5 linked regions of the Xenopus tropicalis genome follow. The protein of the gene in region 4 purifies or fractionates together with the protein of the main gene of each other region. This does not show direct contact. Links are inferred from orthologs where the notes say so. Each region holds a gene or a part of one and is shown on either strand. Other genes may lie near its edges. The genes, in order: rad9a, atr, timeless, clspn and cdc45.

What was found.
Region 1: the proteins of clspn (region 4) and rad9a purify together in Homo sapiens (affinity purification with western blotting; 3 studies listed by BioGRID and IntAct, with this or other methods). This does not show direct contact. The link is inferred for Xenopus tropicalis from reciprocal best matches to the Homo sapiens genes CLSPN and RAD9A.
Region 2: the proteins of clspn (region 4) and atr purify together in Homo sapiens (affinity purification with western blotting; 3 studies listed by BioGRID). This does not show direct contact. The link is inferred for Xenopus tropicalis from reciprocal best matches to the Homo sapiens genes CLSPN and ATR.
Region 3: the proteins of clspn (region 4) and timeless purify together in Homo sapiens (affinity purification with western blotting; 4 studies listed by BioGRID). This does not show direct contact. The link is inferred for Xenopus tropicalis from reciprocal best matches to the Homo sapiens genes CLSPN and TIMELESS.
Region 5: the proteins of clspn (region 4) and cdc45 purify together in Homo sapiens (affinity purification with western blotting; 4 studies listed by BioGRID and IntAct, with this or other methods). This does not show direct contact. The link is inferred for Xenopus tropicalis from reciprocal best matches to the Homo sapiens genes CLSPN and CDC45.

What each region holds. Positions count from the first base shown.
Region 1 is NC_030683.2:57,497,637-57,504,223, reverse strand, and holds the start of rad9a (cell cycle checkpoint control protein RAD9A), read right to left. Parts: upstream 4,471-6,587; 5' UTR 4,430-4,470; intron 4,092-4,429; 5' UTR 4,015-4,091; intron 1-4,014. UniProt on the Homo sapiens protein: Component of the 9-1-1 cell-cycle checkpoint response complex that plays a major role in DNA repair. The 9-1-1 complex is recruited to DNA lesion upon damage by the RAD17-replication factor C (RFC) clamp loader complex.
Region 2 is NC_030681.2:119,652,666-119,658,779, forward strand, and holds part of atr (serine/threonine-protein kinase ATR), read right to left. Parts: intron 5,549-6,114; coding exon 5,364-5,548; intron 3,632-5,363; coding exon 3,437-3,631; intron 2,211-3,436; coding exon 2,002-2,210; intron 1-2,001. UniProt on the Homo sapiens protein: Serine/threonine protein kinase which activates checkpoint signaling upon genotoxic stresses such as ionizing radiation (IR), ultraviolet light (UV), or DNA replication stalling, thereby acting as a DNA damage sensor.
Region 3 is NC_030678.2:138,485,998-138,492,111, forward strand, and holds part of timeless (protein timeless homolog), read right to left. Parts: intron 5,530-6,114; coding exon 5,387-5,529; intron 3,937-5,386; coding exon 3,717-3,936; intron 3,546-3,716; coding exon 3,477-3,545; intron 2,240-3,476; coding exon 2,121-2,239; intron 1,598-2,120; coding exon 1,396-1,597; intron 948-1,395; coding exon 884-947; intron 95-883; coding exon 24-94; intron 1-23. UniProt on the Homo sapiens protein: Plays an important role in the control of DNA replication, maintenance of replication fork stability, maintenance of genome stability throughout normal DNA replication, DNA repair and in the regulation of the circadian clock.
Region 4 is NC_030678.2:81,832,810-81,839,446, forward strand, and holds the start of clspn (claspin), read right to left. Parts: upstream 3,955-6,637; 5' UTR 3,819-3,954; coding exon 3,792-3,818; intron 3,781-3,791; exon of another isoform or gene 3,581-3,780; intron 1,836-3,580; coding exon 1,706-1,835; intron 861-1,705; coding exon 430-860; intron 1-429.
Region 5 is NC_030677.2:154,233,686-154,239,799, reverse strand, and holds part of cdc45 (cell division control protein 45 homolog), read right to left. Parts: intron 4,479-6,114; coding exon 4,386-4,478; intron 3,284-4,385; coding exon 3,146-3,283; intron 3,057-3,145; coding exon 2,907-3,056; intron 2,684-2,906; coding exon 2,625-2,683; intron 1,307-2,624; coding exon 1,258-1,306; intron 1,006-1,257; coding exon 944-1,005; intron 832-943; coding exon 781-831; intron 1-780. UniProt on the Homo sapiens protein: Required for initiation of chromosomal DNA replication. Core component of CDC45-MCM-GINS (CMG) helicase, the molecular machine that unwinds template DNA during replication, and around which the replisome is built.

The sequences.
Region 1 (6,587 bases), on a different chromosome or scaffold from region 4:
AATTTTCAGTAGCTAAAGAGATCTCCTGGGCAATTTGTATGCACTAACTTCCTTATGGGGTCTCTAAATGCCAGATACATTGGTGATCCTATGCACAATGGGCATCAAACTGTTCAGCGGACCCTTGGCTTTCATATTTAGGGTGTGTTCTTTTGGTACCTAATGTTATGTGGGAGATAAGGTGCTTGAAAGTGGAAGATTTGATGTGATTTTTAGGTATTTCATCAAAACTGGCAATTTTGGGAAAGAATTGCGACTCAGTAGTTTGGAGTAGAAAGACATGGGTACCAATTTTGAATTCGTCCGAATGTGTACTTTCCAAAAATATATGATTTTGGGGGGTCAATGTATTTTTTTGTGTTTTTACCCCACAGAAAATGCAGTAAATGTGTTGAATTTTCAGTAGCTAAAGAGATCTCCTGGGCAATTTGTATGTACTAACTTCCTTTTGGGGTCTCTAAATTCCAGATACATCGGTGATCCTATGCACAATGGGCATCAAACTGTTCAGTGGACCCCTGGCTTTCATATTTAGGGTGTGTTTTCTTTGTACCTAATGTTATATGGGAGATAAGGTGCTTGAAAATGGAAGATTTGAGGTGATTTTTTAGAATTTTCATAATTTTTTATAGAAAATGCTAAATTCAGTAAAGCATTGCCGTTTGGTACTTAGGAGTTGGAAGACATAGTTACCCATTTCGGATTCGTCAGAATGTGTAGTTTTCAAAAATGTATGGTTTCCTGGGGTAAACCTAATATTCCAGGATTTTTGGCTTTGGAATGTAAAGTATGCCGTATTCTGCTGTAATGCTTTTAAAATTTAGTAATTTACTGCTGGGAGTTTTTGATCTATAGAAGTCAGAAATCTCAATAAAACTATACATATCAGGTATTGGCACGTTCGGGAGACATGAGGCTTTCCAAATCAGTTGAATATTTGTCCATAAAATAAAATGTGTTTCTGGTATAAATCCTTATATCATGAAAAATAGCATTTTTTCTTTTTTTTTTTTGTATTTCAAGCTCTAAATCTTGTTCCAGAAGTGGAAATACACAAAAACTCAGGTAGATTTGGAAAGCTCAGGTTCTCCTGAAAAAAACAATATATAGTTTGCCTACCTAAACTTAACCCTGCCCCCAGTAAAAGCCCCTACATTGAGAGAGCACAGAATGTTTACAAAACGTCTGGCACTGGGGGGAACTGAAATGACGAATTCGGCTGGCACTTAAAGGGTTAAGCCTATTGAATTATTATAAGTAAAGAGTGAATTTACTGAGAGGCACTTTTATAATTAATACCTGTGCGGCTTTTTTTTTTTTTTGGTGAGTAAAACAAGGAAAGGAAGGTTTGTTTTAAAAGCTTATCAATCAAAATTATTTATCAAATAGATCTTTCACCTATTGATAAATACACTTCTAAAAATCCCATGAATGAAATGGAGTGTTTCTGTGACGAGATCTAATTTCACACTATGATAAATCTGCCCCTCAGTGTTACTATATATTGGACGTTTCATAGTTAATAGGGGTTAGGGAAAAAAAAAAAAAGTTGCTCAAGTCCAACCCCATCGAACAGCCCATGATGCACATTCAGCAGGGAAAAGAAGTATTGCACACATCAACATTTTTCACAGTAAATATATTTCAAAAGGGGCTATTGACATGAAATTTACACCAGATATTGGTAACAACCCAAGAAATCCACACATACAAAGAAATCAAAACAAATAAGTCTTTAAATTAAGTTATGTGTAATAAAGTGGAATGACACAGGGAATAAGTATTGAACACATGAAGAAGAGGCATGGAAAGCAAAGAAACCTGCTGACATTTGTCAGTATTTTGAAAGCAATCCTGCCCCCTATCAGTGCAAAATAATTTCAGCTGGCTTAGTCCTAATAAATGGTTTCTCATTACCAAGGTATCACACAAGAAGCATCTCATGATGGGTAATAGCAAAGAGCTCTCTCAAGACCTTTGCAACCTTATTGTTGCAATACATACTGATGGCATTAGTTATAGATGTATTTCTAAGCTTCTGAATGTTCCAGTGAGCACAGTTGGGGCCATAACCCGGAAGAGGAAAGAACATCATTTCACATTAAAAGGGCACGACCAGGTGTTCCTCCCAATATTTCTGACAGAGTAATCAAAAGAATAATCAGAAAAATTGTCCAAGAGCCAAGGATCACTCATGGAGAGCTTCAGAAACACCTTGTACAGTTGTTTAAAAAAAACAATAAGTAATGCACTCAACCAACATGGCCTCTTTGCAGGCTCAACGCGCAAGACACCACTGCTAAAGAAAAAACATGTTGAAGCTTGGTCAGATGAAAAAATGACACTGCACATCACATCATTTCAAATGAAAGGTGGGCATGTCCTGACAGAGACCTGAGATGATCTATAGGGAGCTCCAATAAAGGGGCCATTTTTGACAGTGTTCAATTTAGCCAAAAGTGAAATCAGCACCATATATTATTCATAATTGCCTACAAAATTGGGGTTTTTTCAATGTTTCCAATATGTCTCCTTTAAGCTGAAAGTATTTATCAGAAAGGGAAAGGTCTATAAAAACACTGCACTGAGTTCTCTCAAAAGAAACAGGATTTGTTGTCTTTGTTTTCCTGTGCCAGAGACATGCAGCTCTCTCCCCCTCCCTCAAGAATGCTAAGAACTCACTTCCCCCCCCCCCTCTTAGAAATGTGTGATCTGAGCCAATCAGTAGGAAACTTCCTCATCGTCTTACAAACTGAGCATGTACAATGGTCTCGGTCCAGGAGTGAGGAATTATGGGAACTTTCTTTTCAAAGCTTAGATTTTTTTTTTCCTATGAGGTTTCTGATCATCTGAACAGGAGAAATATGGGGGGACTTAAAGGCACTATTGAGAAAACTGAAGGTATGCCTGCAGCTTGAAATTAACTATTAGCCTTTCCTTCTCATTTAAAGGGAAACGAAAGGTAAAATCACTTGGGGGTGCCAAAATGTTAGGCACCCCAAGTGACTTTAACCGCTTACCTCGTACCCCGGGCTGGTGCCCCTGTTAGGAGAAAATAGCACCAGCCCGGGGCACCTGGAGCGGATCGTTTCCTTATTCCGGCTTCCGTTTCTGGAATGCCAGCGGTGGGCGAATGCGCAGTAGAGTGAAAAGCCGACTTTAAAGTTTAAGTTCGGCTTTTCACTCTACTGCGCATGCACGCGCAGCGAATCAGGCAGAGGCAAGCGCCGGCAGCTACCCCGGGCTGGTGCTGTTCCCTCCTCACAGGGGCACCAGCCCGGGGTAAAATGTAGGTGGTCAAAGTCACTTGGGGGTGCCTAACATTTTGGCACCCCCAAGTGACTTTGACTTTCTTTTTCCTTTAAGCCCATTTATTCAATTTCAATACACAGAGACATGTAACATCACAAAGTTTCTTCCCTATCTATGCACCTTACACTATATTACCTGTACATGGAATTGCAAATAAAAGCAGTAATTCTCTATCCCTTTCTATTGTCTGGGTCTTAAGCTGGCCATACACGTGGCAATCTGACGATGTTTCGTGCAACCATCGGTAAGGAGGTAGAAACAATAGGATTTCTACCTCCTTCTGCTCCTTCTGCTGATTCAGCGCTGAAGGGAGATTTTGGTCAGGCGCCTTCTATGGCGCCCAATCAAAATTTTCAAACTGGTCCGATCGGCGAGTCGGCCGATATCAGCAGCTTCCTGCGATATCGGTCGACTCGCCGACATACCATACACGCACCGAATATCGTACGAAACGAGGTTTCGTACGATATTATTGGTGCGTGTATGGCCACCTTTACTCTTAAAACAATGTTACAGGGTCAGGTCTCCTCTAGGTATTTTTATCCAGCTGCCTTGTATTATTGCTCCAAAATCAAAGCCAGGAGTGCAGAGAATGTAAGCAAGACAAATAAAGCTTTTTAGATATTACATTAACAAATCACTTTAAAACTACTGAAAGTTTGTAAATAAAGTATATTGGACAGTTAATTAGAATTGCATTACCTTTCTATAAGCAAAACAAGTTTTTGAAAGGAGAACCCCTTCAATCTTCATTTAGAGAACTTCCTCTTGCACTACAGCTTAAAAAAAAAAAATTAAAAAAATAGTCATAATGCGTATTTGAAAGTATTGTTACCAGTTCAGTAGAGACCCATAATATGCATTTCTATGGATTAATGCATTCGTGTAGGTCAAATTTTAACAACTAGCCAATTAAAATTGTTAAGCATTAATGCCTCTAAATGACGACTGCATGTACGTTCGTGCTGATCCAAAGGCATATTCAAGACAACTTATTTGGAGGTTTTTGGTCTTAAAGTAACGAGTTGTACCATCTTACGCTTTAGTCTAAACGTTCTCCTTTTCAGAAAAAGGATATACTATCAACTAATTTTAAAGGTCGGCCCCGCTCACATACCGCCCAATAGTCCCGCTTTTAGCTGGACAGGTCCGCTTCTCTTAACTCAGCCCTCAGTCCCGACTCGGTCTTAAACGGTTTCCAAAAGCCATTTATATATCTAGTTCCTGTGGCCGTGAGTGACGTCACAAACACGTGAAGACGTGGCGACGTCTCCAACACGTAACATTCAGCGCCTTCTTCAAATGCCTGTGTAAATAGATTATAGGTGGTTACTCGGGGATGCTATGGAGAGAATGGCTCATTAAAAGTAGTGTCACAGTGCGCTATTGAGTATTGGGTTGCGCTGGGTAGCATTATTTTTTTCTTGGGACAGAATTAAATGTAGGAGTTTATTCAGTTGCCTGAATACTGGGACACTTGATGTTCAGTGGAGGCTGTGGATCTATTCTATGTAAGGTGTGTGCCCTTAATTTTAGGGGGTTGTTGGAGCCTGCTTATATGTGGAGTGCTTGTATTTTTTGGGGTAAGGGTGCTGATGAGTTTTGGGGGTGTGCATTTTTTTGAAGGGTGGTTATTGATTTTTTTTTTCCAGCTGGGTTGACGTGTTGCACAATTTTAAACTATGGGGAAGAGTTTTGGAGTGTGCTTATGTTTTTGGCATGTTAGATAATTTTGGGGGAGGTTTTGTGTATGTAACCCCTTTTTGGCTAAAAAGCACTTTAAATGCCAGGCTATGGTTAGAGCATGGGGCACATTGGGACTCTATTTCAAAGGGGTGGCCTTCGCTAAGTGGAAGGCAAAATATACGAAAAAGTCGCAAAATGTTCGTTTCCAATCCGAATTTTTCCCATTCGAATTCGTGGATTAGTAAATCAGCCCCCTAGAGTGTGCTATGACAGAGTCTAGTCCTGAGACTAACTTTACCTCGTTCACGGGGCCCTGTCCCCGACTTTACTTCAAAGAATATGGCTTACTGGGGCCTATGTCTGCACCCAGGCTCAATGGAGCTGTTGTTGGGAAGCAGACAGGCAGCCACACCTCCTTGCTAGACATTATATGAGGCTGCAAGGAGTGTGGACAACCATATGGGCCAATAAAGTATAGGCATAACTATAAACTGTTACAAAGGCTTCCAGTAACAAGGGATCTATGTGAAGAGGTAGGGATATCACTCCATAGGGCATTTAACCCTATGGGTCCCTACATTTGCTTAAAATTTCGGTTGTGCTTTTTTTTTTTACCCAGAATATTGAGGGGAGATTGTGTTAGTAATATGGGTGGCATAAGTATTTAGATGTGCTAGTGGGGGAGGTACAGTGTGTGGTGAGATTACATGAGCTGTGGTAGGTTTATGTCTGTGGGGGTATTTGACTCTAGAGCAGTGTGTAGGGAAACTAGACCTACCTATGATGTGAGTGGGCTGTGGCAGCAGGTGAGGTCTGTAGTTATAAATGGGGGGGTGGAGGTGTGTAAGTAAGACATTATTTATGTATCTTAGGTATGTGTATGCCTTGCAGTGTATGTGTCCCTAGTTGTATAACTTGTATACCTGACTGTGGGAAAGTGAGGCACCTCTAGGTATGTTTGTGTCTTTGGGGTTAGGACAATGAGGGGGGTAGACCTTCTATTTGTCAGGAATGGGGGGGATAGGTTGGGTCAGTCTGTGTGTGCCTCCAAGGTATGGTTTTGATTGTGGGTACTGTGAGAGATACAAGCAGTAAGAGCACTGTTTGGTGTATTTTCCACCATTGTTAAAGGTGAGATACAGGTAGCACCAGGGAAAATGCCTGGTTTAGCAGCAGCTAATGCTGTATTCATGCAAGCAGAGTAAAAAAAAAAGCCGGATAGGTGAGTCCTGGAGTAAATGGAGGGTTAATAGAATAGGTCCTCCATTCCATACTCCAATTTAGCATTTTGATTTGGCCAGCTGTAAGAAGCTGCCCGATTAGGCTGCAGGTGAGCAACACATAAAAGAGCTGTGGGATTACACGGCAAGGGGGGTGATAGGTGACTGGTGATTAAGGTTGGGGGACTCAGAGGGGTTCACTCTCAGATCAGGGCACAGGGCAGGAAGGTTGCCTGCCTGTGTTAGGAACTACCAGAGGAGCTGAGGGTGCCACCTGCAACTGCAAGGAGCAGAGGGAGCAGTAACCAAGTAAGGAGTCACAGAGAAATGTATCTCAGAGCAGGGCACAGGACAGGAAGGTTGCCTGAC
Region 2 (6,114 bases), on a different chromosome or scaffold from region 4:
ACAGTATACACCCCTTTCAAAATGAGCTTATTGAATTGGGCTTGTGCTGAACATACTTTTTGCCTATTGTTTTAATAAAGAAATATCTATGGTTTACGTTATTTTTGGCACTAAACAAGAATACAAAGCCAGTTTCACTTTACTAGTTCCTGTCACTTACTGATAAAATGAACTTCAAAGCAACTGATAAAACTAATCACCAGTCCACTGAGAAACCCCTAATAATGAGCTGCTTAAAGGCTGCTTCTTAAGGCCGTGGTAGACAGGGAGATTAGTCGCAGACGACTAATCCCCCCGATATGCCATTCCACTGGTTTGACTGTAAATCGCTGGTGGGAAGGCATATGCGGCGCTGCGATTTCCTGAAATCATGGAAGTTGCCTTGAGAGGAAACTTCCACGATTTTGGGAAATCACGGTGCCGCATATGCCATCTCACCGGCGATTTACAGTCAAGCCGGTGGGACTGCATATCAGGGAGATTAGTCACCCGCAACAAGGGAGATTTGTTGCGGGCGGCTAATTTCCCCAAGTACCACTGCCCTTAGGGAGGTTGCTTGTTCAAAGGCAGATAAGGAGCTCTGAACAAATTGCTCTGTTTAAAAAAGGAAGGGGGGGGGGGGGTTAAGGTCAGTGAAAATAGCCCAACTTTCAAATTAAAGCTTTATAATGGCAAAAGAAATAGGATTTTTTTTTAATTAAAACATAATGTAATTTCAACACGTCATATTTATTGTGTTAAGAAATGATTTAAGCATTTAAAAAACCCCAATCGGATTGTTTTGCTTCTAATAATGATTAATTATATCTTAGCTGGGATCAAGTATAAGGCACTATTTTAATATCACAAAGAAAAAGGAAAATTAGCACATTAAATAGGATTGTGATGAAAATACATTCTGCCTATCGTTTTAAGTTGAACAAATCAATTTTCCTATGTTTTGCCTTTACAGAGCACAAAATTGAAAGTTGGGCTAAGTTCACTGAACTCAATTCCCCCTTCCTATATAAACTGGGTAGTTTGTTCAGAGCTCCCACCTACTTTTAAACAAACAAACCCCTACCTTCATGAGATCAGAAAGTGACAGGAAAAGAAACCATAGGAATTTCGGAATTAAAACAATAGGCAAGAAGTATGTTAAGTACAAGTGCTATAATTGAGCTCATGTTAAAAAAGGGTGGTATACTGTCCCTTTAAGGCAGGGATATCCAACTTTTTATACCCGTGAGCTACATTCAAATGAAAAAAGTGTTGGGGAGCAACACTTGCATGAAAAAAGTCCCTGGGGGTTGCAAATAAGAGCTATAATTGGATATTTGGTAGCCCCTATGTGGACTGGCAACCTACAAAAGGCTCGGTTTGGCTTTACACCGGGTTACACTTACTTTTTATTATTTGGGCTCTCTGCTTTTCATTTTCCCTGCTTGGTTGCTAGGGTAACTGAATGCTAACAACCATAATTCCAAACTGGAGAAGATAAATTTATCAAAAACCACAAAAAATTAAAAATGAACACCAACTGCAAATTGTTTCAAAACACAGAGAGCTACTAGCCCAAAAGGTGCTTCAGTGACATCCAAATTAGCAGTAACTATACACAAAAGTATTAACAAAGGATGGGTGGCTCAAGGGAATAAATACAACTACACAATGACACAAGTGACACATTCCCAAGATGGGGAGCTCCTGTGACAATATTAAAGGTCTGGCCTGTTACAGAGATGCTGAACCTTTAGGCTGGTGCAATAAGCTAAGTATAGAGAATACTGCATTTATAGCCATATTAATTGTTTGTGTTTAATTCCCCTATAAAGTGATCATGAAGTATTTTGGCTCGTGGTGTTGTTTTTTTATTGTTCTTATATATGCAATTCTGCTTATTGTTATGCAAATAGACACTATAATAAAGTGTGCCTTTTTATACCAATAGCATATGTCTCCGAAAATCCCCGTCTATATCCACATGTCTATAAACAACAAAAAATCAATATTACTGCTTACCATGAATGTAGAGTATTGCATCAAATATTTTGATTATCTTCATCAGAATGTCATTTATACTGGCTCGCTGGTGTGCAGAATCAAGAATCTTTCTGCAAATTTTAAGTATTTTTAGTATATCCTCTGGACTGACCCAGGAAACCTGAGGTACCATTTCTACCAACTGAATGCCAGAAGTATTGCTCAAGTCAGATACTGACTGATTAGTGCTGTGAACACAAAATAGTACAAAGCAGGATTACACAGGACAACAAAACATTAAGAGTTTCAAATAATTTGTAACTAGGGACAAAAGGACAGACCTAACCCTAAACTACTTAAAGAACCTCAGCAATTTCAATGGCCCAAAACTGGAGTAAAGGGCTTAAAGGGGTTGTTCACCTTCAATGTTTAAATCTTATTAAACCACCAACAATGATCTCAGCATGTTAGAAAATGCCACTGTAAAAGCTACATTTTATACCTGTTAAATCAGTCCTGCTCCTGTCTCTCTGCTCAGTTTTCTGAAGGGATAAGAATGGCCTATTTTGAACCTGATGCAATAAGAACTTCCTATTTGCTTACATCATCACATCCAGGCTTTGCCGTACTTTTTTCCTATTGGACCAATTCATTGGTTGCTTCTGTACTCTAACCAGTTGCATAAATTAAAAGGCCATTGGCTAATTTCTCCCTTGCAATGACACAGATAAACAGACTCAGCATATTACAAATCTAACATACTGTTATGTTAGATTTACAGCACTGTCACAGGCACAGACTGACAGGAGACACAGCCAATAGGAGTTAAGTCTGCTGCCAGTACTATGCGTTACATCATAAAAGGAAGTAAAAAGGTGACTGTAGTGTCTGCGTAGACTTAAAGGATCAGCAAAGGGATGATTCTCTTCAGCTGCACATTTTTGTTAACTTTGTATATGGCTAAGATTGTTCTATTAATGTGAACTGTTACATTCGTGAACGTTGTACAAAGGCAAACAACTCCTTTAATATTACATTCAAGAAAGAAGCACAGAGAGGCTGCAATGTAAAGTATGAAGATAGAAGAGGGCTGCCTTTATCTTACTGTAATAAATGCATGCAATAAATATATTGCAGACACTTCTTGCAATAATAAATATGTATGTACTAAATTCTCAGTGTCAGGTAAATCCAGCCTACAGAGGTAAACTGTAATTTAGTGTGAGGCACCGAGCTGCACCGAACGTACATTGCAGGAGCTGGAGTTATCACACCCTGCAGATAGAACATTTACGTTTGTACTAAATATTAAATGTTAATATCATTGAGTATCATTTATTAGTCACTGTACCAGTATAAAGCAACTAACTTTCTGTATTATTATTCTGTAAAACATTATAAATACTACCAGATGACAGCTTATCATAGTAGTAGCATGAAAACATCAAATGCAAGCACATACACATACACTTACTGTGTTGAATTTTTAGCGAAGATATGAACTATACTGAGAGCAGCAACACATATAGTTGTATTGACACCCTCCAATAAAGAAACCATCTCTTCTTCTGAAACCTCATCGCCTTCCAATTTGCATAAAAGAGAGGAGAGTTTTGCACTCACTGCTTTCCAAAGCATGCTCTTTGTCTTCATATCCACAGGTGCAGGTCTATCATCAAGAAAAATATTGACTTTGAACACTGATCATTTACATTGCTTATTTATAGTGATGAGCGAATTTTTTCGCCAGGCATGGATTCGCAATGAATTTCCGCATTTCGCCATTGGCGAAGCGCATTTCGCAAATTTTATGGCGAAACGGGACAAATTAGCTTATCACAACTTATTAATATCAGTTGCTGTCTGTTTACATATTTACACCTTTCAGATGTATTACTTTATAAGGATAACCATATTATTAATTTGCAACTATTTTCTGTCTATTCTGTTTTTTCATATAAGCAGAGGTTTTTTTTTTTTTGTAACTTTGTTTATTGATGAGATTGTACTGCTTTTTGAGGCACATTTGAATGCATTTATGGTGTTATCTATGGATAGATTGGTGGTTACTTTGTATAGTTTTTAATATTTATTGGTGTGATATTGATAATAAGATATTAGCAGGCTGGCCAGCCTTTTGCTTTTCAAGTAAACATTTCAAATATTGTATTGTTCATATTACCTCATATTCCTCCAAATGAGGCTATTTTAACCTTGGGCAGAGCCACACCATATTATATATATATATATATATATATATATATATATATATATATATATATATATATATATATATATATATATATATATATATATATATATATATACACATACACACACACACTTTTCTTTTTATTCTTTTTCAGCAACAAAATTAGCTGTTCATTAAAGAATAAGTAAACCATTTTTTTTTTTTTTTAAATCTCTAAAATTACTTTTTACAGCCCCCAGAATAACATACCATTCTCCCTGCTTTTGTTTCTGTTACAAACTTAACAGCAGTTCTTTTACTTACTTCCTTGTCTAGCATGAAACTCTGTCCTCTTTTGCTTTCTGGGCATTCCTTCTCTCTCCGACTATGATGACCCCAAAAAGGTGTGGCATTCCCGTATGATTTTAATTGGAGCAGAGGCAGTGAGCATGCCCAGTAGGCACCTATTTGAAGTCTTTATAATCAGAGAGAGAAGGAGTGCTAAGAAAGCAAAAGGGGGAAGGAGCTTCAAGATGGACAAGGAAGTAACTAAAAGCACTGGTGTTCAGTACATTGTATAGTTGCACATAGGTTAAGCTGGCCATACACGCATCGATGATATTGTATTGGATATTTCGTACGATATTCGGTACATTTATGGCGGGCTTGTCGAGGCGACCTATATCGCAAAAGGCTGTGGATATAGGTTGTCTCATCGATTGGGTGGGCTAAAAGATTTTGATCGGGCGCCTTCAATTAAAGAAGGTAGAATTTCTATTGTTTCTACCTCCATATTGGATGATTCAGCCCTGAACGTCAGTGGAGGGTGGAAACGATCTTTCATGCGACCATCGAAGTCGCTACGTGTATGGCCACCTTAAGATAGCGTTCCCACAACCCCCAGAAGACACAAATTGGGGGAAAGAATGTTCGGAAAATATAGTGTACTTTCTTTGTATGCCAACACTTCCCTCCAGAAAGCCCGTATCAGGGGGCACTCCCAAAAAACACGGTAGTAAGTACCCACATTGTTTGAACATTTAGGACACATATCTGATGCACCCTGGTATATTTTAGCTTTTTTGTGAGGAGTAAGATACACTCTATAGAGAAATTGTACTAAATTATAATCTTAAACTTCACAGAATTGCTTTCAAATTGCAGACAGAACATAGGTCTCATAAGGTCTTGTATTAAGTAAAATCATTACGTTGATGGTATGTTCCTCCTCAGGGGTTTTGCAGTTAGGCTTAGACGTGGTCGCTTCTCCTGAACTTCATCGCTGCTGCTGCTCCCACCACCCTCTGAGTCTGTGCTTAAGGGCTGCATGCTTTGCTGCTGCATGTATGCCAAACTTTCTACTCTTAATGCTTCATGAAGGGGGAAAACCAAGTACTGTTAAAAGAAAAAGTTATACAGACAATGACAAACATAAGCATACTGTGGAGCAGATTGTAAAAATTAAGTTGCTGAATGAAATAAATTAGAAATAAGAGGAAATAAGAGGAGGAACAAGGATTTTTGTAGAAAATGCAAAGCATATATATATATATATATATATATATATATATATATATATATATATTTACACATATATATTATCTATCTATATATCATAATCAGATTTTCAGTGTGAACCCTAGGAACACATGATCAGGTGAGTCTGCACTGCATGGAAAATCTGGCCACGCCTACATCTGTACACCCCATCCACTTTTGTAGCAGTAATGTGTCCTTAATGTGTCCATATTGTGTCCAACAGTATAATATTGTTAATATTATTATTCTTATATTCACATTAAAAGGAATTACCTACCTGAGACACTGCACCCAGGTCTAATAAAAAGTAAATTCTCTTGCTGTAAGCAGCATCAAGGCTGCTGAACCCATATTAAATCTTATCACCCCAGTTTAGCCATTTCTGCCCTACATTTGTCATATCTCCCTAACCAATCATATCT
Region 3 (6,114 bases), about 57 Mb from region 4:
TGCCACATTTAAATGTCACAAACCATTAGTATTGTCTACAGAATTCTCTTCATCACTGTCAACCATTTTACTTCTCTTCTTTGCTGTCTTTGGTCTATTAAATGAAATAAACAAATTCATTTGAAAGCCAAGTTTCTTTATGCCCTTAATGACATATAAACCCTAAATTTTCCTACCATCTATATAAGTTGGATACATATACCCCACCCAAAAGCATAATTTGTACTGCATTTATTCCCCTCCGTTCACCAATGCCATCACATTTTCATAAAACAAATAGCTTTCACCAGGCTGCCATTATCCCTCTGACATCATCAGTACCATTTACATCTGCAAACAGCACATGTGCGCTGTAAAGTTTATGCAGTGATGCATGCAGGCTTATAAAAAGTTCTGCTTTGATTGAGCCATGTAATGGTTAAGCTGAGTTCAGGAGACAAGGTTAGGAGAAAAAGATAGGAGCAGACAGCTAGAGCAGAGATTCTATGGGAACCAGCAGTGCTATTTCTTTATTGGCTGCTAGACTGGAGGGCGTGTTTAGTAACCTCAGCTTAGAAGAACTGAGCATGTTCAGTAGCCAAGAGCCAAAGTCAGTTCTAAAGGGAGGGGGCAGAGTGGGTCAGAGAAGGAATCCCAAGTAATTATGGGGATGCTGCAACCTTACTATTAACAACCAGAGTGGCAGTTATTTAAAGATTTCCTTGAGGCTGTACACTGATTACATTTTTGTGTGGGGGGTTTATATATACTTTAATTAAATTGTTATTTATATGAATAGAATATGCCACCATTGTTACAATTTTCTACTTAGAAATAGCTATGACATATGATGAAAAATTAGAGTATTAAAATAGCAATAATTCACATAATTTATGTTACTTACCTTCTGGTTTTGCTTTGGGATTGTAATGACTTATCTGGGGATTTCTGATTTTCTTCTTGAAGGTCTAAAAGGAGAAGCACTAGTTAACTACTGCTATATTAATATATTACTTACATGTCTTAGATGCTACAGGCCTTAAAGGACATGTAAACCAAAAATGTTTTTGCCTAATAAAAGAAAACATAATTCTAAGCAACTTTCCAATGTGAAATTAATACAAATAACTTTTAAACCGCTAAATTTTTTTAAAAATGTAATTGCTATAGAAAGCAGCATTTGCTGAACTCCTGACTGTTACCTTTAGGGACTGGCAAACACTACTACTTATAATAGCAATTATATATACAAATACAAAGTCAATAACCATTGCAAATTTGTAAAAAAAAAAATGTATATTGCAAAGTTGCTTAGAATTATGTTTTATTTTATTGGGCAAAAAAAATTATATTTTGGGTTGACTTGTCCTTAAAGGCCAAACATGTAAATTATTGAAGCAACCTCTATTTGTTTACCTTGCTGAGCTTCTGATGATTTCTTTTTCCGTGCAAGTAAAAGTGCACGAAGTGCTTCTGCCCTCTGCTCAACATTTACCTCTTGTTCTTCAGCATTTGCAAGAACCTCACAGGCAACTGCTGCAGCCAAGGGAACAAGACAGGAGGCTGCCTTGCGCAGCTGTTCCGGACTTAATTTACCTGGGATGCGCCAGAAAGATTCCTATGAATGTAAATGAAGGTAAAATACTGTCACTGGAGCAGGTGGCTTTGACGGAAATAGGAGTTCAACATTATATGTGTTCAAATACCCACTGACCTCTTCATTGGAGAATAAACACAAAAAGAAAATTTTTGGACTTCCTGCTAAATAAACTTTTCAAAGAAAATTGGTTTCTAACCATTTGCTCTAGCCTCGAGAAAGCTTTGATACAACAGGGTCCTAATAGCATACTTCAAAGCCAAAGGTGCATAAATACAGCACTATATAAAGTATAAACATGCACAGAGAGTAATGGACATCCACAGATATATAGTTGTATAAGGCTTTAAACCCAACATAAAATGCTAAGGATGTATTTTTACCACACTAGATAAGGTCCTCACCCCAAACCATAAATAAGGAAATAGAGCAATCTCATATTTTTATAGAAGCAGGGATTATAGAGAAGGGACAGAAAAAAAACAAATCCCACAATCATTCTAATGGCTTTCTCATATATACATTTTAATCCATGGATGGTTACCTGCTCATTTGCAGGCGCACGGATGCCCAACTTCTTCAGCAGTTTCTTGAATGTTTTATTTTCCATAGCATCCTCATTGTCTTCCGTTAAAGGCACAAGGGGAATTGCCTGAGAAGAGCCTGGCAGTTACAAAACAAGCAACAATCAGTAAAGCTCACCCCTTGACATTGGGTCCGGGTGTACATGCACATGAAAGCAAAACATTAAAGTACCACAGCAAAGTGACTTCTGGGAAGGAAACCAAATTTTGCTCCTAAAACTTTCATTGATATGCATTAGCCTATAGGCTAAATCATAGTCACTAGGTTTTAAAACACAGCCAAGGCAGTTCCCAAATACAGACCAGCAGGTCAGGAACTAGGGGTGCAGGAGAGGCACATGCCTAGGGCTCAATGGTAGGGGGCAGATACACACTAGTCTTGTATCTCACAAGGGCCTCTTGATACTCAAAAACTGTTTTTCCTTGAGATATTCCACAAATGCAAAATTTTGCTTTTCAAACTGAAGCATTAAATCAGGCATAATCAAACATTTTAAACAGGGGACCAGTTTATGGTCCCTCAGACTGTTGGGGGGCCTGACTATAGTCCTCAAACTACAGCCCGGCCCCCCACGTCCTCAAACTACAGCCCACTCTCGCTGCCTGCTTCTCGATGCGGGGTCAAACTACGGCCCACTCCTGCGTGCTCCCGCTCCGTCCTTCCTCTCCCAGCTCCACTGCATCCCGCTGCCAGGGGTGAGGACACTGCAGTGGCCCGGTAAATTACCTTGGAGGGATGCCTGCACTATTTGCTCATTTATAAGAATTAAATGTCTTTATCAACAGCATTTAAAATAGCTAAGATAGCGTTTTAAAGGGGTTGTTCACCTTTGAGTCAACTTTTAGTATGATAGTAGAGTGTAATATATTGAGATAATTTGCTATTGCCCTTCATTTTTTATTAGTTGTAGTTTTTGTTATTTCACTTTTTGTTCAGCAGCTCTTCAGTTTAGAGTTTTTGCAGCTATCTGGTTGCTAGGGTCCAAATTACCTTAGCAACCAAGGAGTGGTTTGAATGAGAGCCTGGTATAGGAGAGGACCTGTATCGAAAAATAAGTTATAGAAAGTGCCAATAACAATAAAATTGTAGCCTCACAGACCAATAGTTTTTTGGCTGCTGGGGTCAGTAACCCCCAATTGAAAGTTGGAAAGAGTCATAAGAACAAAGCAAATAATTTAAAATCAAAGAAATAAATAATGAAGACCAATTGAAAAGTTGATTAGAATTGTCCATTGTATAACATACTAAAAGTTAACTTGAAGGTGAACCAACCCTTTAAGTCACAATACAGTGTTCTGGAGCAGCAGTTACCCACCATCCTCTTCTCTGTCTTCGGCAGTGCGGTTTAAACAGTTTTGAAGCCACAAAAGAGGACCAGATAAACCTGTGAATTCAAGAGGGGAAAACAAGTGAAAAAAAAAGGAATACAAATAAATAAATAAAATTATACATTTTATATAACTGTGTCTTAACCATTAACATTCCAATAAATTACTCTTTACTGAATCAGATGCTCCATATGTATTTTACATTTGGCATATGAGCGGACATTCACCTTCCTGCTGTAACTTGTGCACCAAATGCTTTATATTCTTATCGGTAAATGGATCCATTCTGCCACCTGTTTGCTCTTTTGCAATTTGTTTATAGTTAAGGTCTTCACACTCTTCTTCTTCTTCACTTGCTTCTTCTTCTTCCTCCTCCTCCTCTTCTTCCACATCATCCACACTGTGTTTTCCATCAAACCCCAGATCATTGAGAAACTCTTCTTCAGACTGAAAAAAAGACACACAAGTATATTCATATATTATACTAAATATTTTCTTTGTTTTGTTTTAGAAATCTCTTCATCTGACATGAAGCATGCTAAAGAATCAAATACTCCCACATTTTATCATAATTCCCCTTATAACCTATATTGGTTCTGATTATTAATTTGATCAGCAGCAATGAAGAGAGATGGGGAAGGTCTAGCAGAATGGCAAGTTAACGGTGTCAGCCCCCCCTCCACTGCAGGAATATTACAATTTGGAAGGAATTCTCTTATGTCTGTTGCATTTTGTTGTATCCGTCAATTTTGACTCTCTCCTATTCTAGTGGGGGGGGGGGGGGGGGTGTTAAGGGGGGAGCACAGGTGAGGATTCCACTAATGATTTGCTTTCAGAAATTATTATAATGGCATATGTTGGGTTAAATTCAGTGACAATCCATTTTATGCACAGACTGTAAGTACAGTGCTTGTTAACCACATCAACGGTGATCCCTCTGGCATAACTGGTGTAATTATACTGGCGTTTAACAGGTTAATGTAGTGCTTATACATTTTTTGAAAGTGATTTTCATGGCATATCTAGAATTAATGCTTTTGAAAGAAGTAATCTTTATCCATTCCTACAGGGATCATCCTGCTGAATACCTACTTTCTACAGTGAAGTTTCTGTGATGTCAAGCATTAGTTCAGTGTGCAACACTCATTTTCAATAGTGCGTTAATGGAATATATGAAGTAAATGCAATGCTCAGAATTCATTTTCAGCAGTGACCTTACTAGCATGTCTTGGGTTATGCAGTGCTCTGAATCAATTTCCTTCAGAGATCTTGCTGGCATATCTGGGCATAATGTAGTGCTTATTATCTATACTGGCATGTCTGTTTCACTAAGGACAAACAGAATGCCACAGGGGGTGTGGTAGCAATGGTGTGGCATACATTTTTCTGAGACAGCATTTTTTTAGGCCACAGGTTTCCTGCAGTTGGGAGTACTTGAATAACAAAAAGTTTTGTCTCCCCACAAAATATATATGTTGAACTGCAAACTTGTGAAATAATCTACCAGAAATAACAGCACTCCCTTCCTTATATGCTCACTATGCTGCTTTTGTCACAATAAGGAGCTTGGCGGTTAGAATTACTACTATAAGTACAGCCATGTGTGCAATAGCATTAATATCATTCAGATTCTTCTTCCCCCAGGCTGACTGGGGGATTACATGGACTTAATGGATGTTTATGCTGGGGCAGGGGAGCTACCTACTCTAGGGCAAGAAGCAACTCAATGTGCACTCTGTGCAAGGATCTATGTTCTACAAACGTCCATAAATGATCTATGTACTACGAAGGTCTGAGCTTCATCCAGGTACTACTTTCCTGCTTCAATTCAAGGGAAGCTACATGGCGCCTGATGATTGTGTGAATGTAATAGGAAATAGAAGTCATTTGACAGTACCATGCCAGATGATTTCCCCTTCTTCCTTCTTTTCTTATAAAGTTCTTTGCGATCGCATACTAGACCCATGCTGATAAGCTTCTCAATTATTCTAGCCTTGGAGCGTTTTGCAGTCACATTCTTCATTATATTTCCCAATATGTCTAAGAAAAAAAACAGAATCAGCATCACAAATGTACTTAAATTGGTTGCCTTTTCAGGGGCCACTTTGGGAAGAAATCTTAATTAAGAATTAATTAATAATCTTAACTGTGGGTAAAATTCCTGCTAATGGACAGCAAAAAGAACATGCTTTGTGTATAGCACATACCTCCAAATTAGGGCAAATGTCATTTGTTAAAGCAAACTAATGTTATGACATACTAATGAAATGGGGATTTTGTGATACTCACCGTTTAATCCTTTTCAGAAATCTGCGGGACACAGTGACCTTGGGGGTATAGTATCCACCAGAGGGAGGCAGTACACTTGAAGAGGAATAAACCCCTTCACCCCCAAAAGGCCCAAGAGGTGCCAATGCCTCTGGTAGAATAAGATGCGATACATAGAGGCGGAGACTATAGGCAGGAAATATAGGCTCTGCAGATAGCCTGCTGAATCAGCAGGAAATGGTAGCTTTGGATGCTCGGGTACCCTTGAAGGGGCCAGTGAGAAACACAAACTAGGAAGCAGATCTGAAGTCCTTCATGCAATCCAGGAAGAACTTGAGAGCCCTGACAGGGTCCAAA
Region 4 (6,637 bases):
CCAGTCAAGTTCTTCCTATTCATTCTAGCCCCACTTGTGTATGGACCTCACTTTGCAAGCGGGCATTACTGTGCTGAAACAGGAAAGTGTCTTCCCAAAACTTTTGCACAAGATAGGAAGCACAGAATTGTCAAGGATTTACCTGTATCATGAAGCCTTAAGGTGTCTTTGCACTGAAACCCAGGGGTCATATAGTATGTTATGTATATTAGGAGTCACTATAGAGGTTTGAAACATTAACGCAATCAAAACATGAAAAAGCAAACAACACGCATGATTTCTGAGAGCACCTTAGTAATGGTCTAGTAGTTTGTTTATATACTCATATAAACAGCTAGTTTTGTATTGGTCCTTATCTTGGGTATGTTATTTAATTCAAAATTCTCACACAAAATATAAAGAAGGGTTAGTATATCTAAAAAGTAGTACTTTTGACTTTTGCTGTGTCCTCCTTTTAACCTTCTCCTCTTTCTGTATTTTGTGCTTCGATTTATTTTTCACTCTTTTCTCTTTATTGGTGTCACCTTGTTTCTTCAAGGACTTGCTTGTTTTATGCTTGACTGTAGGGGATTCTTTCTCCAAGCTACCGTGGTCTGACTCAGGTCTCTCAATAGTATTTTGACGTGTACTCATTTGAACATCAACCTCGTTATCACTGTTGTCACTATCAAATAGAGCTGACTGGATTCTTCGTGGCTTTTCTCTATGAGCAGAAATATTGTTCTCCTCATCATTTTTAGAGTTCCCCTTCACATTATCTGCAATTTTACTTGTTTCCATTTCTTCATCACTGTCACTTTCCACCAATATTTTCTTGCTTTTAGATTTTTTACACACCAAGAATTCTTCTTCATCTGTATCTGTTTGGGTAAAGGATGGAAATAGCATATTATTGAAATGAACTTTTTAATCAAATATCAAGTTAAATGTATGGACAAAGTATGGACAAAGCAACTTTCACATAGTTTTAATCTCAAGACAATGGCCTAAAAAAAGAAAAGAAAAAAAAAGTCACTACCTTCTGCAGGGCAGACAGTCAGCTGAAACATCTAACTAACACAAGGATTATTTGAGAGATGATAATCTAAGCAGAGTCCATACTTTACTAAGCACTAAGCATGTCGAAGACCAATGATACAGACTTTACAGATGATGCCTTTTTTATAACTGTAATATGCAATGTGATTTAAAAGGAGAAGTCACTTGGGTGTGCCAAAATGTCAGGAACCCCCAAGTGACTTTAAACTCTTACCTTGTACCCCTGTTCGGAGAAAACCGCACCAGCCCAGGGTACCTGCAGCGAGCGCCTCGTCTTCCATGTTCGCGCTTGTGCATGCGCAGTAGAGTGAAAAGCCGCACAAAAAAGTCAGCTTTTCACTCTACAGCGCATGAGCCGGCCCATGGATTTTGCTGGCAGAGTGAACATGGAAGGAGGAAACGCTCGCTACAGGTACCCCAGGCTGGTTTTCTCCTAACAGGGGCACCAGCCCGGGGTACAAGGTAAGCGATTAAAGTCACTGGGGGGTGCCTAACATTTTGGCACCGCCAAGTGACTTAGCCTTTCCTTCTCCTTTAAATGTTTAATCACCGCTTATAAATCAAGACTGCTATATCAAGATCAAAAACTTATCTGCTACAATCTGTGGGGCACTTGTGTCTAAAGGAAATTCTTGCTTTCAGAAGGCATAACTTTATTTCAACACACCTCTGTCCTCTATACAATCCAATATTTTGTTCTGATCATCAGCAGAAGCCATTTCACAGCTGCCCTGACCACTGTCAGAATCTGTCTCCAAGATCTTCAGACTGATGCTGTCTTCTGGTTCCAAAACTAACTATTTAAAACAATAATGTTAAAGGTTTTAGAATAAAAAACACCAGGTAAAATTATTGAACATTAAAGACATTTAAACTACAGGTATGGGACCAGTTATCCAGAATGCTTGGGACCTGGCGGTTTCCGGATAAGGGGTCTTTCCGTAATTCAGATCTCCTACCATAAGTCTGCTAAAAAAATTCTATAAAATGTCTTTCTCCAACTGTGTTTCAATTAATAGAAAAAACTTTGTGTTATCTCCTGACTTCAAAAGCTGATTGTAAATGCAGACCATTATAAATGTCCTTACCCCATTCCCCTCTTTCTTTCTGTACCCCATTTCTGCTGAAAAACCAAAAAATAAAGAATACATAAAAAAAAAAAAAAAAAATTCTATAAACACTAAGCCCAATAGGATTGTTTTGGCTCCAATACGAATTAATTATAATTAATAATATATATATATATATATATATATATATATATTTATTTATTTATTTATTTATTAGAACTCTCTACATCATAAAGTTAATGAAAAGGTAAACAACCACCTTAAGGTAAAAAGTAGAACTTGTTATTTTTCAGCTATTCTTTACACAGCTTTCTATTTATGCCTTGTTCCCAAACAGTATGGTCAGTAAGGGATCCAAATATAGATTATAGAATTTCCTTATGCAAGCCCCAAGCAAATGTCACTGGGGACCAGGCCTGGACTGGCATTTAAAATAGGCCTTGGCATTTTAAGTATACAGAAGCCCAAACCGCCCCCACCAGCCCACTAAATTCAATATTTCAATATCTTTTTTTTTTTAAATATTCTTAAGGCATCTGAGGACATACACATTATGTCCTTTCCCAGGCTTAAGCACTAAAAAGGCAAGAAAAGCTTTGTTTATTAAACAAACCACATCATAATTTAATGCAAGCATTGGATCCATTACCCAGAAATCCATTATCCAGAAAGTCCCAAATTACAGGAAGACTATCCCCCATAGACTTCATTATAAGAAAATAATTCTATTCTTTAGAATGATTTCCTTTTTCTGCATAAATAGAACAGTACAATATACTTGATTCCAACTAAGACATAAATAATACCCATTGGAGGCAAAACAATCCTATTGGATTTAATTAATATTTAAATGTTTTTTTCAGTAGACTTAAGATATAGAGATCCAAATTACTGAAGGACCTGCTTATCAGGGAAACCCAAGGTCCCAAACATTCATATATTGTATTAATATCTATTACATTTATTGTATTCTATTTACTAAAATAGGCTCAGACTCCAGATTTAGAAATGTAAACATCCAATAACACAAGACAAGTTAAACAGTATAATGAGTTATACTTCTCTCTATTAAGATTATGCCCCTTAAGTTAGTTATAAACCTTAGAATTTGCAGAACATATTTGCCTGCAGCCCTGCACTCCTACACATGGGTTGCACCATAAGCACAGGACTGCAGATGAACAATCTAAACAAGGGAGTAACTATAAAGAGAGCAGACCCTGCAGTTGCTGGGGGCCTAGAGGGGCACTGGCCAATAAGCTTTTTGCCAACACTTACTCGAACCCTAAAACACATTTACATTCATGTATAAGTCTCGTAGACACGGCTATATTATCCTAAACAAAACGGAAGAAACACAAATACATAAAGAGCGTATTATTAGATATACCAGGTATTATCGGTGCACACGCACGACAAATGTTAATTTTAAATGCAGCCCAAAACCAGAGATGGCGTTTTGGTTTTCACACCTGGTTTTTGTTTTTTCATGAGCTTTGCGGTGATTTAGTCAGCCCGTCCCTTATACATAGGTATATCTATAGTCTGTGCAAGTGAACACGATTGCCTTTGTTGTTCTACCCGACTGGTCTAATCCAACGCAGGTATAGCCAAACGGTAAGAAGCCAAGTATTTATTCCAAGATGACTACCAGTGCTGCCTATATAGAGTAGTTCGCCTCACCTGCTCTTCTTCACAAAGCGCGGCCATGGTGCTATCTGCTGACAGCTCCCGCCAATCTTCCCAGCTGCCGCCTCAGAATTCGCGCCCTGTACGTGTGGGTTGAGCAGAAAAAAAGCCATCCAATGACTGTCACCCACAACAGTGACGTGTTATTTTCTGTATGCGTTCAAAGCCTCGTTCTCCATCTATTTCCTCATTTTAGAACGTGCACCAGCAACTTGGTTTCCGCCTCCCAAACTCAATGATTGCGCCGCCTGGAGACCTGGTTTGGAAAGTCACCGATTCAAGATTCATCCCCTGTGCCCCAGAAAGATGCCCTTTAAAAGTTGGTAGCGAACTGTCGGGCGGATACCCCTGGAGGAACTAAGCTTAAAGACTATTTAGGATGACGCTTGAACTTTGCAGTCTTAGATATTTTAGAAAACTCTGATTAATTTCTTATTTAGAAGCACTTTAATTGGGTATTAACAGTTCCAGAAGTGAGAGGAACTTCAGTATCTGCCTAGTGCTGAAAGTGGTGTTTTACTACTTTTTATTTTTTTCTTTGTATGTGGATGGCCATAATACATGTATGTGTTATGTATGTGTAACCCTTTCTTGGCACTGATATCCAGGGCCACACTGGGGCGCAAACAGGAAAAATCCCAAGCCTCCACTAAGTGGGAGACCATCAGAGGATTATGTATCCAAATGGCTACCAGACAAATGAAACACAATACACAAAAAAGATCAGCCCTTGAACAGCAACTAGCACAGTTACAAACATCAAAAAAAATTCCCCATCCAAAAAACTTACAAAACAAATCACAAAGATAAAAGGAGAGCTTCATCAATTAGATTTGATAAACATGGAAATAGGACTTAGAAAATTGAAAATAAATAGTTATTACAAAAGAAACAAAATAGATCTACTGGCAATACAAATTAAAAACATTAGAGTTAGAACAAGTGATCACAGACAAAACTAAGCAAACTTTACATAACCCAAAACAAATTGCAGAAGGTCTTCCTGAAGGGGACTAACTCTAAGAAGCCTGTCACTACTGGGAACAAAAATGAAGTATTTGATGATCTGACACATGGGTTCCCCAAATGTTGCAAGTAACCAAATTTTTACATGCACACCCAGGTCTCTGATTTTTCTCCTTGCTGCTCGGCAATAAGGGAGATGGCCCTCCCTGGTATGTATAAATATATAAATAAATAGAAATCCTGGCACACAAAGGCTTCCTGTAGGGGACTACCCCCCAAGTTTTATTATGCCAAAAAGAACATACAATGTTTTGGAGGGCGTGCCCTTTTGTCAGGTGATAGCCAGTGATTATACAATCCACTTTTTAAATACAACAAAAACCCAACCATTTATGAATATGTAATAAATCAATATAAGTCCAAGTTATAGTCCAAACATTGTATATATGTGTCCCAAAAAAGTTCATTCCTGGTGAATCCTGCAAATAAAGATCAATTGAAGGCATATCCACAACATGTTATATAACTTTTAACATTAGTATCATGTTTCAAATCATATACTTGTATAAAGCTAAACTTGCTATTTAGATGCATGATCCTGTAAAGCCAACCTTTTTAACACAATAAAAGGAAGTGAGAGTTAGTAAGAACTACTGGTTATTTGGGAAAAAGGAAGATTTCAAGGGAGCCTGAGGAGAAAACGCATCAAAGTTAAATGTTACCTTTTAATGAGGTCCCATTGGGAAAAAAGTGTATATTTGCTGGCAGCCCTGCATAACTGCCAAACTCTGGTTCTGTGTCTCCCTACTAGTGCTAAGAGTAAAGGCATCTGCAAAGCCCATTTTAGGGAAAGATTCTCCAAATTCACTAAAATCAGTGAAAGGAACAACATCCCCTAGTCTGGGGAACCTATTGCATCTTGGGAAATAGTGGGAGATTGTGTATCCAGGCTGATTCCAGTAACACAATATGCAATACATGTCACACAAACCCCCATAATACAGGGAAGCCTTAGTGAGTTGGTGCTCTGGCACACGGGGAGATTAGTCGCCCGCGACAAATCTCCCTGTTCGCGGGCGACTAATCTCCCTGGATTGCCATCCCACCGGCGAAAATATAAATCGCCGGTGGGATGGCATACGCGGCGGCGCGATTTCAGTTAAATCGCCGGTGGGATGGCAATCCGGGGAGATTAGTCGCCCGCAAACAGGGAGATTTGTTGCGGGCGACTAATCTCCCCGTGTGCCAGAGCCCTTATAGAGAGACAAAGAGAGTGAGTGAGAGAGCTCCAGGGGGTGCAGCTTAGTTACAGTCATATACTACATACTTAAAAAGACTACAGGAAATTGTATTTCTGTATTTTGGACCTGTACAAAAAGAAGAATGACATCACAGTTGCAGAAAGTGTCAAAGCTGACCTTTTCTATGCCTTGTGACATATTTTCGTTATGGTGAGTGTGGCATTGTACATTCCAGGCACTTGGGCAAAGCAGGTGTAATTGAAAAAGCTTCTATAGCTACACCAAAAATTATACATTTTCTCTAATAAATTACATAAGCATAGATGTATTTGTGGGAATCACAGTCATCATTAATGTTCTATGCAGGCATACCTGAAAAATACCACATAATAGTGCATCATTTGCAGTTTTTTTCATTCAAGTGACTGGGAAGCAGTTGCCAGTAGAACCAGCAGTTACTGTTGTAAGAATATTATGTATTCAGCAGAAAGTCACTAAGCACTTGCTACTCACAACAAAAAGGTTTTAAGTAGCAAGGGATTGCTTAAAGATTTCTATAACATAAAAACTGCTGGTTTGAGACTGCTTTATATGTTAGTGAAGTAAAAAATAAAAAAAATTCTTCCCTATCTG
Region 5 (6,114 bases), on a different chromosome or scaffold from region 4:
AGTATAGTAAGTGTAATCTGTTAGTGTCATACTAATTATAGCAAAACTAGGATAATATTTTACTAGTTTAGCATTTTAAATGAGTCATAACAATACTTCTACCACTAGCGATGTTTTTCAAGCAGGAATGGAAGACATGACTTGAACCAACTAATTATTCTAGTTTTTATAGTTAAAGGGCCACTCTCCTCTTAAAATCTTAATGTGCTTAAGTAAGGGAATACCTTTGCTCATAATTTTATGGCAACTAACAGGATATGAGCATACTTAATAACAAATGTTCAGCCACAGCATTAAGGCAACCACTCTTTTCCCGAAGGCCATGCCCTCTGGTCAGCAAATAATGCTGCTGACTTTTGCAAAAGGATTATGAAAAAAAGAAAATGGCTACTAGTGGGGAAAAAAAGTACAACCTTAAAATAAGTTCTGTCCTCAAGTAAAATAGTGGTGGCAAAACTATAAATTCAGGGGACTGCACTCTGCAGACTATGGGACCCCCTTAAGAGCCAATATGTAGAAGTCAGGATAAGAAGCAAATAACTGCAATGTAGTGCTTAAATTAAAAAAAAAAAACAAAAAAAAAAACAAAGCTTAAGTCTGAATATCTCCACTGAAATAACACAAAGCACACTGGCCACTCATGAGAATGGCTCTTTGTGAATCCAAATGTTTTCCATAACACGTCCCCTTGTAAAATGCTAGCCTTAATGACAGTACTGAATTTTTGCCAACACAATAGCACAATTTCTTCAAAAGTAGTATAAAAGCAGTTTAACATACTGAGTTATTCGGTCCTGAACCCACTGGTCTGTCAGCCCAACAATTGCCCACCTGCAAAAGAAAATAAACATTCTCCTTTTATCTGGAAAATACATAATTCAGATACAAAAAAACGCTTAATCTACAATGTAATACCTCATTATACTAACTAATGCATACCTACCATAACATATCATTTGAATCCTTAGACATAATCCAAGCCAACTCAAACATCATCATTGCAGACTATACAAACAAAAGAAATAATTAGTTATCATAAATACAACAAAACATGAGCAATGGTTTCAGGTGCCAAAGTGGTATATCAGGATGATAGGAATTAAAAATTTCAAATTATAATAAAAAGTCATTATAGTCCAAAGATGCCAATTAATTCCAAAAAGGAAAGTTAAATTAAGCATTAGTGCTGGCAAGATATATAGATTATATATAAATTTCTTTCTATAATGGAAGTGCATAACCAGCTTTACTACTTACTGATGTTCCATGATATTCATACTGCTCATAGTCAAAAAGAATCTCTCTCCTGCAAAGAAACAAGGGACAGCTAAATGCCTAGTCTGTCAACAGTAATCAAAAAACAAGTATAGATTGATTCTATAATACAAATGTAACTAAAGGGGGAAGCTTAAAGCTTACTCAAATGCAACATACTCAGTGGTGTTCCTGTTACCTTATACAGTGGTTGGCTATTGTCAAGTCAAGCCTCAGTAAGCCACAGATTTGGTTTATGTAGCATAAGCTATATTAGTGTTGGATTCCAGGTAATGGTAATTTTTAAAAAAAAATTACTTCAGGACAGGCTTATGAGTAAAGTTTCACTTGCTTCAATTATTCAAGTTTAAGGCTACAGTTTGTTACTCTTACATTGCCTTTTCAATCACTACCTTTCTGCCATAAAATGACAAATAAAATTTGCCAGTTCCTTGTGGAACAAAGCACCCAAGCAAGCCAGGCCCGGATTTGTGGAGAGGCCACAAAGGCCCGGGCCTAGGGCAGCAAAAGTTTAGGGGTTTTAGGGGCCGCCCTGCCGCAACAAAATTTTTAAATTTGGCTCCCATACGGAGCAGTCGGGACCTCTCCCCACTGCTCCGTATGGAAGTTTAAAGGAGTGCATGCACACTCGCGGCTGGCGCGCGCGGGGGGCCACCAACAGGAGCGGCCACGGGGCACCCAGAAGACAAATCCGGCCCTGAAGCAAGCCTTACATGGTCATGGTTAAGACACCTGCCTGTCAATTTCTTCCACTGCTTAATCAGACCCAATGTTCATTGCTTTGTACATAGGGAAATTATTGTGTACAAAAAAAAGAAAGCCTTCCCTAAATTGCTGTCAGAGTAAGAAGCAGAGACCTTATAAGAGTGTCACAAAGCAGGAAGCACAGAATTGTCAATGTTATTGTACACTGTAGGGTTAAAGTTTGCTTATTAAAACCAGGGGACCTAGTACTAAACAATAAAAAGAATACAATGACATTCTTAAAAATTATGTGCTCACTAATTTGTGGCAACAGTCAGGAAAGCACTTAGTTTCAGCATAGTAATGCCACCCTATGCGTAGGGAGGTCCATGCAGAACTGGTTTTCTAAGAATGAAGTAGAAGAACCTGACTAGCCTGCAGACAGCCCTGACCCAATGCCAACTGCAAGCCAGTTCTAATAGCAAATAAGCCCAATTATCTTATTTGCATGTGCAACAACATTATTTTGTCTCAGACTGTACTATGAAAAAAGGTAAACATAATAGCTTTCTTGGTCAAAAATTACAGACAACTTGATATATCGTATGGAATTACCAAAAAACCTGCACAAATTTAAAAAAAGATGCACAACTTTTTGGTACTACCTTCGAGCCTCCCACTCCCTCCTCTGGCGTCTCCTCTCTATCCTTCGTTCCACTGCTGCCTAAATACAGAAGGTTGAACAGTATATGTTAGTAAGGCTTTTCAAGCAAAACTTGAAATCAAGGCAGACTGACAAAATATGGCTTAACTGGACCAAGAATTAACAATGGGTTACAAAAGCTACACTTATATATCAAATTAAAATTTTGTTACTGAGAATTCACCAAAATTCCTTAACTGCTAAGATAAACTGTGTTTGCACATAACACATTACAGACATATACCTCATCAAATCGCCTCCTCTTTCCAGAAGGTTCTGCTCCATCACTTTCATTTCCAGAATCATCCCCATCCTCCTCATCTTCATCATCATTGAAAATGTCATCATAAGCAGGTATTTCCAAGTCATCATCCTGCCGGATCAGCAACTTGATCTTTAAATTTAATGGTAATTTTTATTAAATAAGCAGATCAGTGTTTCTACTTCTGAAAGATTTCCAGTATCACTCTGTAGACTACATACCTGACTATCATTGTATATATTAACCACATCTATTGGTCTGTGAGTGTCACATATGTAAAAGATAGCCTCTTCTTGGGGCTGTAGAGTCTCTAGAAGGTCTATGTTTGCACCACAGTTTATGAGAACAAAGTAACGGAACTGTAATTACACAATGGGGAAAAATTATACAGGCAGAATTAGCACTGCCAGGAAAACAAAAAAAAAAAAAAAAAAAACACAATAAACTAGGACTGGGAAGGCAGTATACAAAGTGCTCTTGCCCAGGTGAGTAACCTCTAAAATGTTACAGACGTCCTGAACTTTTCACTGATTAAATAAGAATGCACATACAGCAACTTAAAGTGGTTGCTCACCTTTATGTTAACTTTGAATATGTGGCAGAATGGCAACAATTGGTCTTCATTATTTAGTTTGTACAGATTTTTTTTTTTTTTTTTTTTTTTTTTAATTATTTGCCTTCTTCTTCAGACTCTTTCCAGCTTTAAAATGGGGGCCAAAAAACTATTGCTCTGTGAGGCTACAATTTTATTGTTACTTTTTATTACTTATCTTTCTATTCAGACCATTTCTCTTATTCATATTCTAGTCTCTCACTGCAACTCTACCTTAGTAAACCCCTGGTTGCCAAGGCAATTTGGACCCTAGCAACCAGATAACAGCTAAAATTCCAAACTAGAGAGATGCAGAACAAATTAAACATTCTAAAAAAAGCAAACCAATTGCAAATTCTCAGAATCTCCCTCTCTACATCATACTAAAAGTGAATTCAAAGGTGAACAACCCCTTTAAGAACTAGTACTAGAAAGCTTTTCTTCACTCCTTTTAGCTACATTCCTGTAGCTAAGCCATCCCATTTTAAGCAATTAGATCCCCTACATAATGCATGAGATGAATGATAATGCTTGAAATAAACATCATTGTATAACTGCATTCAGGGAATTTTTATTTGAACGTGCCACTGGCCATTTAAGAAGGAGCATCAAAGCTAAACCACAGTTACTGATATTATATTTATAAACTTCTGCCGTAAGTTGAATGATGCTGAAAGCGGATGTACAGCTAGTTGCCCCTGCAACTAAAATCACCTCTGGCCTTATCTGGAAAGAAGGTGATGGGTAATAAAATTGCAGACTGTATAACAGATATAAGATGCAGCCAAACTAGACACCTAGCACTGGTGAGGTTACATATGCTATAAAATGAGAATTGGAAAAGAAACAGTACAAGAATGACAGATTACCTGTTCTTTATGTTCAAGAAACAATGTTTCAAGTTCCTGCCAGCCAGAGACTGGGACCAAGGTATACTGTACATGATCACACTGAAATAATGCCTGTGCACAAAAAAGATTAACACTGGTTAAGCTATCAGAGAAGACATTTAATACAAAAATCATATCTCTGTTTACATGAGGGGGTTTCAGCGTCATTGTGCAGCCTTATATAGTTAATTATTTTTAGCAGCTATCCAATTAAATTAAATGATATTGCACGCATCATCTGTCTAAAAGTTTTGTTCTTGTCCCTAGAGTTTAAACAATGCAGCAAGTCACCGTTCCTCCAGCTAAGACACCAACTCCCACAATGCATTGTTGCATTACACTATGGGAACTGATGCTTTGTCTGTAAGGAGATCAAGATTTTATTTAATTTATTTTTATTTTAAGTTCTTATAAGTCAGAAAAAAATATAAAAAGGCATATTGCTTCAATATTAAAATGTACATATACTTTTAAAATGGAGTTCCCATTTAAGGCTTTGCTTACACCGGATTTGTTTTGATTGTTAAAACAGTCCAACATAGCAGATGAGGGAGGGGGCAATTTAGTTGTATACAGATTCTTAAAGGACATGTAAAGCCTACATTTGCCTACAATATATATCAGGTGGGCACGTCTTCCCCCACCCAAATGGCATAATTTGCACTGCATATATCCCCCTCTGTTTATCAGCACAATTACATTTTTTCTAAAGCAAATAGCAGCTTTCACCCAGTGGCCATTTTTCCTGATACATAATCAAATACATTTATATCTGCAAACATACACACACAGACCCGAATTCAGCATACATTTCATAAAGAATACAGGCTCACACAGGCAGAACTGTCTTCGATAAAAGTTCTGCTTTGTTTAAGCTGAGCTCAGGACAGGAGGTTAGAAGAAAAACATTGAAGCAGACAGCTAGACCTGAGCTTCTATGGGACCCAGAAATGCCATCTCTTCATTGGCTGCTAGACTGGAGAGCGTGTTTGGTAATCGGAGCTTAGAACAACTGAGCATGCCCACAAGCCAGAAGTCAAAGCAAATCTCTGAGGGAGGGGGCTGAGTGGGTTACAGGAGGAGAAGGAAATCTAAGTGATTAATGGGATGCTGCAGCCTTTCTATTAACCTCTGGACAACCAGTGTGACAGGTATTAAAAAAAGATTTCTAAGAGGCTGTTTGTGCGTGGGGTTTACATGTCCTTTAAAGAAAACTCCTAAAACATCAATTAATGTCCATGCATCCAGAATACTTTAAACATTTGTGACTAGTCGTATAATACAAATGATCTTGCACTTGTTTGCCCTTTACTAGTACACCCAGGGTGTATCAAATGATGGGTTTACTTGGTGGGTAATTTGGCCAGCATACACTTAAAATGAGAAAAAAAAAACAAAACTACTTTTTAGACATTTTTAAATTTCTTAAAAATGCTAAATAGTCTACCAGTTCACTAAGAAAAATCAACAGTTTTCAGCCTATATTTAAAGTGCTAAGACTACATATTTTATGCTTTTTTGGTGCTAGATTTTTAAATGGCAGGTACCTTTAATGCATTAAGGAGAGGCATGCACCAAATCCAGGATTTTGGATTATCCTAGCACTGTTTGCAGATTTTTTAATTCCCCTAAACTAAATGGTTATTAAAATCACATGACTTTAAAGAGCTGGTTTGGCCCAAAAAATGGCTCACTACTTCAAGTGCAG